2 linked regions of the Ovis aries genome follow. Each later gene encodes a partner of the first gene's protein in a complex. Links are inferred from orthologs where the notes say so. Each region holds a gene or a part of one and is shown in the gene's direction. Other genes may lie near its edges. The genes, in order: SIRT3 and ACSS1.

Region 1 (4,412 bases):
GCAGGGGCGAAGGGGCTGCACGCCAGCAACCACTAGCAACTAGCGGCAGAATCCACAGAGGAAAAAAATGCCCTGGTCTCTGGTTGGTCTCGTTTCTCCAGACTTCTGAGAAAAGTAACAGTAGGTTATGACAAGGCTAACTATAAGACATCGGTATCTGTTCAGTCACAGGTCCAGAAGGCAGCGAACGCTAGATCCCAAAACCCAGTCTGGCTCTCCTCAGCCCTGCGAGATGTCACCCTTTTCCCTCCTCGGTCCTGCCTTCCGGGTCCCTCAGCACCCCTTCTCTGTCTAGCTTGTCCCCATTTAATCCACACGGGTCCGAGCGCCCTCAGTCCACCAAGATCCAGGCCCACCCCGTCCCCCCTGTCGCTCTCCTATTCCAGGAGGCCCACGGCCCTAAGGCTCGGCGCTCACTTCTTGGTGTAGAGCTCCTCCAAACGGTGCCACACGGCGGCCTGGCCGGGCCCGGAGCTCTGACTCTGTTGTAAGAAGCCGGATACGTCCTTCATGACTGCAGGAACAACCGGGGAAAGCAGTATCGCGGCGATGCCAGGGCGCGGAGGAGGCCGCCGGAAGTGCTCACTCACTTCCGGCGCTGCGTCACGCGAGGCAAGCTGGGAGCACTATGCTCAGCTTTAGGCGCCGGCTGGTTGTCATAGTAACCGCGCCTCTTGGCTTTGGACCCAGGTCTCTCCAGGGTTTGTAACGGATTTCCCCTCGGAGCTGGCCGTGCTACTGAGGCATTGAAGAGTACGGGCGCCTCGGTCGAGCTGGCTTTGTGACCTTTGTGACGCAATGTTCTTGATTCAAGTCGGGTTAACAATACCACCTTCCTAGTAGGGGCTTGCGAGGACTAAGTATAAATATGATGCCTGACCACAAAAAGCGTCCCCCAAACTGTCAGTTCTCATCTCCATCTCAACAGAAAAAAGCTGAGAGCGAGGGTAGAGAAATGCAGGTTCCAGGTTTGGTCTTGGGAACCAGAGGCGGGAACTCAACAGAATAGGAAACCGCCCCCACCTGACGTCCACCTCCACCTGGGCTGCTGGGACGGGGAAAGAGAACGTGAGGCTAGGGTAAGGGCTCGCGAAGACCTGGCGAAGGTGCGCTTGGAGGGGCGGGACAAGCTGAGCGGGACGGCCAGGAAGGACGCGCAGGAAAGACGCACAGGGGCGGGGAAAGAGCGTGAGGCTAAGGTAGGGGCGCGCTCGGGGGGGCGGGTCGCGCTCGCGGGGGGGCGGGTCGCGCTCGCGGGGGGGCGGGTCGCGCTCGCGGGGGGGCGGGTCGCGCTCGCGGGGGGGCGGGTCGCGCTCGCGGGGGGGCGGGTCGCGCTCGCGGGGGGGCGGGTCGCGCTCGCGGGGGGGCGGGGCGCGCTCGCGGGGGGGCGGGGCGCGCTCGCGGGGGGGCGGGGCGCGCTCGCGGGGGGGCGGGGCGCGCTCGCGGGGGGGCGGGGCGCGCACGGGACCCCTGGGCACCTGACATTGCGCGCTGCGGAGGAGAATGGCGCTGTTTCCTTGTTCAGCTGTTCCAGCCCTCAGGTTCTGGGGCCTGCGAGGTGCGCGGGCGTGGACCCGCTGGCCTCGGTTCGTTCCGGGCGGGGGCGGCTGTGGTGCTGGGCGGGGCCCAGGGAGGAGACCGACCCCCTCAGGCGAGCAGGGATGTCAGGCTTCCCCCTGCGTGGTCAGCGGGACGATTGGAGAAGCTGAAAATGGCAAGTCGTGGCTCAGGCGGCTCTGAAGGGCGTTCTGGAGTCCCGATGGCAACGGTTTCTCGTTTCTTCCCAAGGGTATTTTGGACGTGTGTAAACAACACTTAATGTTCATTCTTGACACCCGGCCCCCGTTTTAGTTAGATTCTGTTCTGTACCTCTCTCTTTTTTTTTTTTTTCCCACTTAACGTGTTTTGGAGTTACTTCCATTCTAAACTTAAATGCTTTCTCAGTCTTTTATGCTAGTCTGTAGAATTCCATTCTTTGGACGTTTCATACTTAATTTAACCAGTCTCGTGTTGAAAATGTTTCTAATCTTTGGTTATTAGAAATAGTGCTGTGTTGAATAACCTTGTTCGTACTCCACCTTTTGGATAAATCTCTAGTAGTGGAAGTCCTGTGTCTACACTTTATTGCCCCACATAAACGTTGTGCAATGAATACTCCCACCAGCATATGTTCATACCCTTACTGAGGTTCATACACAGTAACTGCGCATTTTGAATCCTTGTCTAGAAATCCGGCGTACAAGTGGAAAAATCTTAAGACCATAGTTGTTAATCACAGTTGTTAGGAAACTAACTTCATGCCCAATAATGGACAAATATTTCAGTAAATAATGGTACATTCACTTAATGCCTTCTTACACAACTACCAGAAATACTGGAGTTTAATAAAGAGATACCAAGGAGGAGTCTTTCTTTCATCCAGGAAACTTTTGTTGGACTTATCATCCACCAGACTGTTCCAGGTGCAGTGATGGAGCAGGGGTTAAATTGTTGCCTCCATGGAGCTTATTTCAGTTTCAGAATCTGCAGGCAGTTGTGTGGTTGGGGCATGGCTAAATAGTGAGCTTATCAATCAGTAAGCCCTTGCTACCACTTGCGGCCCAGACTGGAGGCCTAACGGCCCGTGGAGAGCAGCGTGCTTGCGTAGGCTGTCTCCGGTTTGGAATTTCTGCCTTTCGAGCTTGTGTCTTAGGGGCTCCTGATTGAAAGTGCCCTTTGTCTCCGTTTTCCAAGCAGTGTCTGTGCTTGCTCCTCAGCTTACCCCTGCTCTCAGTAAATCTCATTCCATGTAGCATTTGCTTTAAGTCCTACACCTTCAGTATTTTCTAGATGTTTGGCAGAATTCTGTCTATGTGTTTTTCAGTGACAGACGGTTCACTTGTGTAAACGAAAAGTCCACATTGAGTACCCTGAGTGTTACCTTGCACTCCAGTAGGCACTCGACAATGGGTTTTATTTCAATACCAGCGAGCAGCTTTTCAGTTTTCCACAGACGCCAACCGGATGTCAGATGTAACTGAATTCTGACTCTGTCATCCTGGAGACAGCACCAGATTCCACAGGTTAAGGGCGGTTAACCTCACTTCAGCCACTGATCCAGGTCCACTGTGCTTCTGACCAGCTGACTACAGATTGGAGCTGCCCATGACCCTTCCTCTGATGTGATTAATCTACAGCCGCTCACAGAGTTCAAGAAACCGGTTCCCTGAGTAGATTGCTAGTTTATTATAAAGGATATTAAAAAGTATGAATGAACAGCCAGATAAAGAGACGCCCAGGCTGAGGTCTGGGAGAGCTCCAAATGCAGGAGCTTCTGTCCCCGTGGGGTTTGGGGCCTGGCCCTTGGAAGCCTTCTGAACCACTTGCTTTTGGGTTTTCATGGAGATTCCAACCCTCTAATTGTGGTTGGTTTCCCTGGCAACCATACCCCATCCTTAGGGGATTTCCAGTAATCACCTCATTAACATAAACTCAGCATAGTTGTAAGAGGCTTGTTATGAATAACAGGACACTCATTTCACTTCAGAGCTCTGAAGGGATTTCAGGGCCTGAGGCCAAAAGACCAAATACTGTAACAGAAGGTGTTTCCATTGCTCTTAGGAAATTCTAAGGGTTCTGGGACTAAGACCGAAAGTATGTATTGTTAGATATAGTCAAAGCTATGTTTTTTCCAGTAGTTGTATATGGATGTGAGAGTTGGACTATAAAGAAAGCTGACCGCCGAAGAATTGATGCTTTTGAACTGTTTTGGAGAAGATTCTTGAGCATCCCTTGGACTGCAAAGAGATCCAAAGTCAATCCTGAAGGAAGTCAGTCCTGAATATTCATTGGAAGGACTGATGCTGAAGCTGAAACTCCAATACTTTGGCTACTTGATGTGAAGAATTGACTCGCTGGAAAAGACTGATGCTGGAAAATATTGAAGGCAGGAGTAGAAAGGGTAGACAGAGGATGAGATGGTTGGATGGCGTCGCTGACTTGATGGACATGAGTTTGAGCAAGCCCTGGGAGTTGGTGATGAACAGGGAAGCCTGGCATGCTGCAGTCCATGGGGTTGCAAAGAGTCAGACAGGACTGAGCGACTGAACTGAACTGAATATATATATAATTCTCTACTTTGTCAACAACAACAAAAAATTCTAAATCACAATATCAGAACTTTCCTCTCATTCCTTTTGTATTTCCCATAATTTTCATTTAGAAGGAGCACAGAAATGTTTGGCTGAGGACCTTAGGTGAACAGATGTTCTCGACGCTATGTGAAGTGGACATTTCATAGCTGTGGTTGTAGCCAGAGCCATCCTTTTCCTTCCTAACTATGGTTTTCAGAAACCAAATGGAAAACCCCATTGGAGAGTTCACTGATGTGCACTCAGGAGAGCTGCCTTGTCTGGTGCTTTTATGGAAGACTT
Region 2 (3,803 bases), on another chromosome or scaffold:
CCTGGGTCCTCTCCAGCCTCCTGCAGAGGCCAGCTGTGCTCCTGGAAGACACGCAGGGGGCCTGGCTAGGGATGGGAGGCGCGTCTCAGGTGGCCTCAGTGAGTTGGGGGTGATAGGGCCTGTGCATCCTGTGTGTCACCGCTGCTCCAGGGAGCACTGGTCACCTCTGGAGGCTGTTTATGTCCTCCTGGACGTGGGTTCTGCATTGGTGCTACTTCACCGTAACATCCCTTTGACTGCTTCCTTGCCGTGTCACGTGGGTCAGGACGTGGGCTGGCAGGCCCAGGGCCAGGCGGAGGTGGTGCACGGGGAGCCCCTCCCCTTCCAGCAGTGGTGCAGAGTGGGTTTCGTGGACACTGTAGGTGTTTGCATGCATCCAGCACATGGTAACGTGGGTCACCTCTGAGTGAGGCTCACGGAGGTGACATGACCCGGGGCCTCTCATAGGTCGGTACTGGGAGATGGTGCAGAGGCTGAAGATCAATCAGTTCTATGGCGCCCCGACGGCCTACCGGCTGCTGCTGAAGTTCGAGGACTCCTGGGTGAAGAAGTATGACCGCTCTTCTCTGCGGACCCTGGGCTCAGGTGAGCGGCTGCAGGCGTGTGTGTATCGGAGCCGCGCAGGCCTCTGGATGCTTCATCACAATGGCCATGTCTGCGCTGAGTCCACTTGATGTGGCCACAGCTGTAGAAAGCAGATGTCCTCCCTGGAAGCCCTCTTCCGGAGCCCACAGCCGTGGAGGGACTGGAGCTCAGCACTGCGACCTTGGCTGTGCTCCGTCTTCATTATGAAAACTCAGCATTGTGGGAAGGTCAGGCCCTGGCTGGTTCCCCACTGCTGCCCGGGATTTTACCCACTCTGTTCCCAGCACGGGCATCTGTGCCGTTCTGTCCTTGGGTGCGTGTCTCCAGGCAGGGATGGTGTTGCGAGATTAGAGGTTACCTTCACTTTTATGATAATTTGGATCCATGTCACCAGGTCACGTGAGGACATTTTGGAAAGGTGACCTTGAGTTGAGGTGGTCCTTGGAGGGGGAAGGTTTCAGGCCTGTTCTCCCGTAGGGGATTTAGTTGCTAAGGAAGCAGGACCAGGTAATGAGGGAGACGCTGCTTGAGGGTCTGTGTGTCCCCCAGGCCTGGCAGACTCCTGTGGGCCTCACTCCCTAAAGCCCATGACCAGAGCCACTCTCTCGGACCAGGAGTGTGCCGAAACCCCCTGCCCCAGGGAGCCCTCACAGGCTAGCCGGGCCTCTGTAACGGGGCAGCCCAGCCGCATAACCAGTGCCAATAGCAGAGGCCTGTGGGGTGTTCTGAGACCAGAGTATTGTTGAGGAAAATAATTAGTAACCAGTGTATAATAAGAATTGTTATTTAGTCGCTTAGTCGTGTCCGACTCTTTGCGAGCAACTAATAAAAATAGAAGAGAGTTTTATTCAAGCCAAGCTGAGGAGGCTAGATCTGAGGAGCTGCTCCAGAGAAGTATGTTGTTGCTAAGTCGCTTCAGTCGTGTCCGACTTTGTGCGACCCCATAGACGGCAGCCCACCAGGCTCCCCTGTCCCTGGGATTCTCCAGGCAAGAACACTGGAGTGGGTTGCCATTTCCTTCTCCAATGCATGAAAGTGAAAAGTGAAAGTGAAGTCGCTCAGTTGTGTCCGACTCTTAACGATCCCGTGGACTGCAGCCTACGAGGCTCCTCCGCCCATGGGATTTTCCAGGCAAGAGAACTGGAGTGGGTTGCCATTGCTTTCTCTGCCAGAGAAGTATGGTTTTTAGCAATTCTATGTCTTATCAGAACAAAGTACATCAAACAAGTCAGGAATACATGCCTTCAAGGTTCTGAAGAAGCCCCTCAGCACGTACACAGAGTCAGTACAGCCGTGGCCCTAGGAGAAGAGTCTTATCATCAAAGGAGTCCCAGTGTTGGCATCCCAGGCAGGAGGCATTTATCTCTTATCTCCTAAACTTCTGGTCGGTATGCCCTTTTCCCTGCTTTTTAATGACTAAAGCAGATTACAGGGTCTGTTTGACAGGCCACAGATGAGCTGTTGTCGTCAGCCTAAGTCCAAGTTAAATGGCTTGTGAGCCAGAACGACTTCCCCGCAACGACGTGCGGCTGCACTGGCAGAGGGGTGACCAGCACAGCGGCTCCTGCACTGGGACTGCTGCATGCTTTGGCCATCAGGAAAGTGCCATGACTCACTTTGCCATTCTCTGCTCCACGGACCGTTTTTAGCTGCAGGCTGCAGGAACACCCTCGTCCATTTTTCCTTCTGGGGCTGGGCGCTGCCTTCTCATCACAGAACAAGCATGTGTGGCTTTACTGCATTCTGCCAGCAGCAGGTGCCTAGAGCATTTGCAGCAGGAGTGTCACTTCTAAACAGGAAGAGAGGGATTTCCCTAGTGGTCCTGTAGTTAGGACTCTGAGCTTCCACTGCAGGGGCATGGGTTCGGTCCCTAGTTGGGATGACCATAAACAAACAGGAAGAGAAATGCCTGCATCGCTCCCAAGCTGCACTCGGGTGGTGTATATGCTGGTGTTTCCTCCACACTCTTGCCAGCCTCTTGGTTTTTGACCCCCTGATATTGAAAATATCTCACTGTCATTTGTATTCTTCAATGGCCATAAAGAGGATGATCTCACTGCTTTCTCAAGTCTCCTGTGTGCCTTTCAGGACAACTAACAGATCTGTTTTCCTCATGAAATCCGCTCCTTTGGTTTCAGCCCTGTGGAGTCTCTTAACACTTCTGTCTCGTATGGTTGCAGTGGGAGAGCCGATCAACCACGAGGCCTGGGAGTGGCTGCACAGGGTGGTGGGGGACGGCCGGTGCACGCTGGTAGACACCTGGTGGCAGACAGGTGAGCCTGTCCATCGGGGGAGGCTCAGCCCCATGGGCGCCTGGCATTTGGGGAGAGGAGCTCGGGGCTGCTGCTGCTCTGCAGCTCTGACACCTGGGTGTGAAGGCTTCCCCGAGCCTCCTTTCCTCGTCTGTAAGGTGGGGCCTGGGTGGGCGTGGAGGGGGTGACACAGGAGCCCACAAGGGTCCCGTCCATGGCGGCCCACCTCCTGAACCCAGCATAGTCTAGCCTGGGGCCTGCTGTTTAAGGGACCTTGAGTCTAGGATTAGATGTTAGTGGGAAAAGAAGTTTTATTTGCATTGTTTTGCTTTGATTTGCCCCTCTCCTCTGGGGTGTCTGACTTATCAGAATTTGGGGGCCAAGAGACCCCTCACTGAAGTGGCTGAAGTCTCATCCTTCAAGAAGCCAGAAAGAGATGTTCCTGGTTTGCAGGCCTCGTGGTTCAGAAAGGCCCTGGGTGTTCCCTACAGCGGAGCCCTGGTGGGCCTTCCCCTGCAGGCTGATGAATCCAGAGAAATGACCAGGGGCAGAACCTGGGGCTGTTCTCCCTGTCTGGGGTCCTTGCCCTGAGCATTCTTTTCCTCTGTCCTCCTTTCCGCTGCCCCCATGTCCCCATGACACAGGCTGGGGACCTCAGCTCCTGGGGCTGCCCTAGGTGTGTTCTTGTTTCCACAGTGGAGGGACCAGCACTCTAGCCTGGTTTCTCCTCAGACAGAGGTCCTTTTGTCACCGGGGCCATTTCCTTGCCCCGGATGGCAGGTCCTTCCCTCCCTCTCTGGCGTGCACCCTTGTGTGCTGTGTGGACCCAGTGCCCATGCGGTCTGGACGCACGTGTCAGTAGCCCCAGGCCCACTGGCGTTTCTTCTTATCCCCTGCAGAAACGGGGGGCATCTGCATCTCTCCACGGCCCTCAGAGGAGGGGGCAGAGATCCTGCCCTGCATGGC

The links.
Region 2: the proteins of SIRT3 (region 1) and ACSS1 are in contact, whole or in part, in a crystal structure (PDB 3GLT), measured with the Homo sapiens proteins. The link is inferred for Ovis aries from reciprocal best matches to the Homo sapiens genes SIRT3 and ACSS1. Residues at the interface, in NP_036371.1 of Homo sapiens: Gly145, Ala146, Gly147, Thr150, Pro151, Asp156, Phe157, Arg158, Ser159, Glu177, Phe180, Gln228, Asn229, Ile230, His248, Ile291, Val292, Phe293, Phe294, Gly295, Glu296, Pro297, Leu298, Gly319, Thr320, Ser321, Leu322, Glu323, Val324, Glu325; in NP_115890.2 of Homo sapiens: Ser640, Gly641, Lys642, Val643, Met644, Arg645.

Annotation. Positions count from the first base shown.
Region 1 is NC_056074.1:47,445,903-47,450,314, forward strand, and holds the start of SIRT3 (NAD-dependent protein deacetylase sirtuin-3, mitochondrial), read left to right. Parts: upstream 1-1,480; 5' UTR 1,481-1,503; coding exon 1,504-1,586; intron 1,587-4,412. Other genes in the region: PSMD13 (26S proteasome non-ATPase regulatory subunit 13), read right to left, coding at 418-512.
Region 2 is NC_056066.1:42,192,018-42,195,820, reverse strand, and holds part of ACSS1 (acetyl-coenzyme A synthetase 2-like, mitochondrial), read left to right. Parts: intron 1-447; coding exon 448-585; intron 586-2,765; coding exon 2,766-2,858; intron 2,859-3,736; coding exon 3,737-3,803. UniProt on the Homo sapiens protein: Catalyzes the synthesis of acetyl-CoA from short-chain fatty acids. Acetate is the preferred substrate. Can also utilize propionate with a much lower affinity. Provides acetyl-CoA that is utilized mainly for oxidation under ketogenic conditions.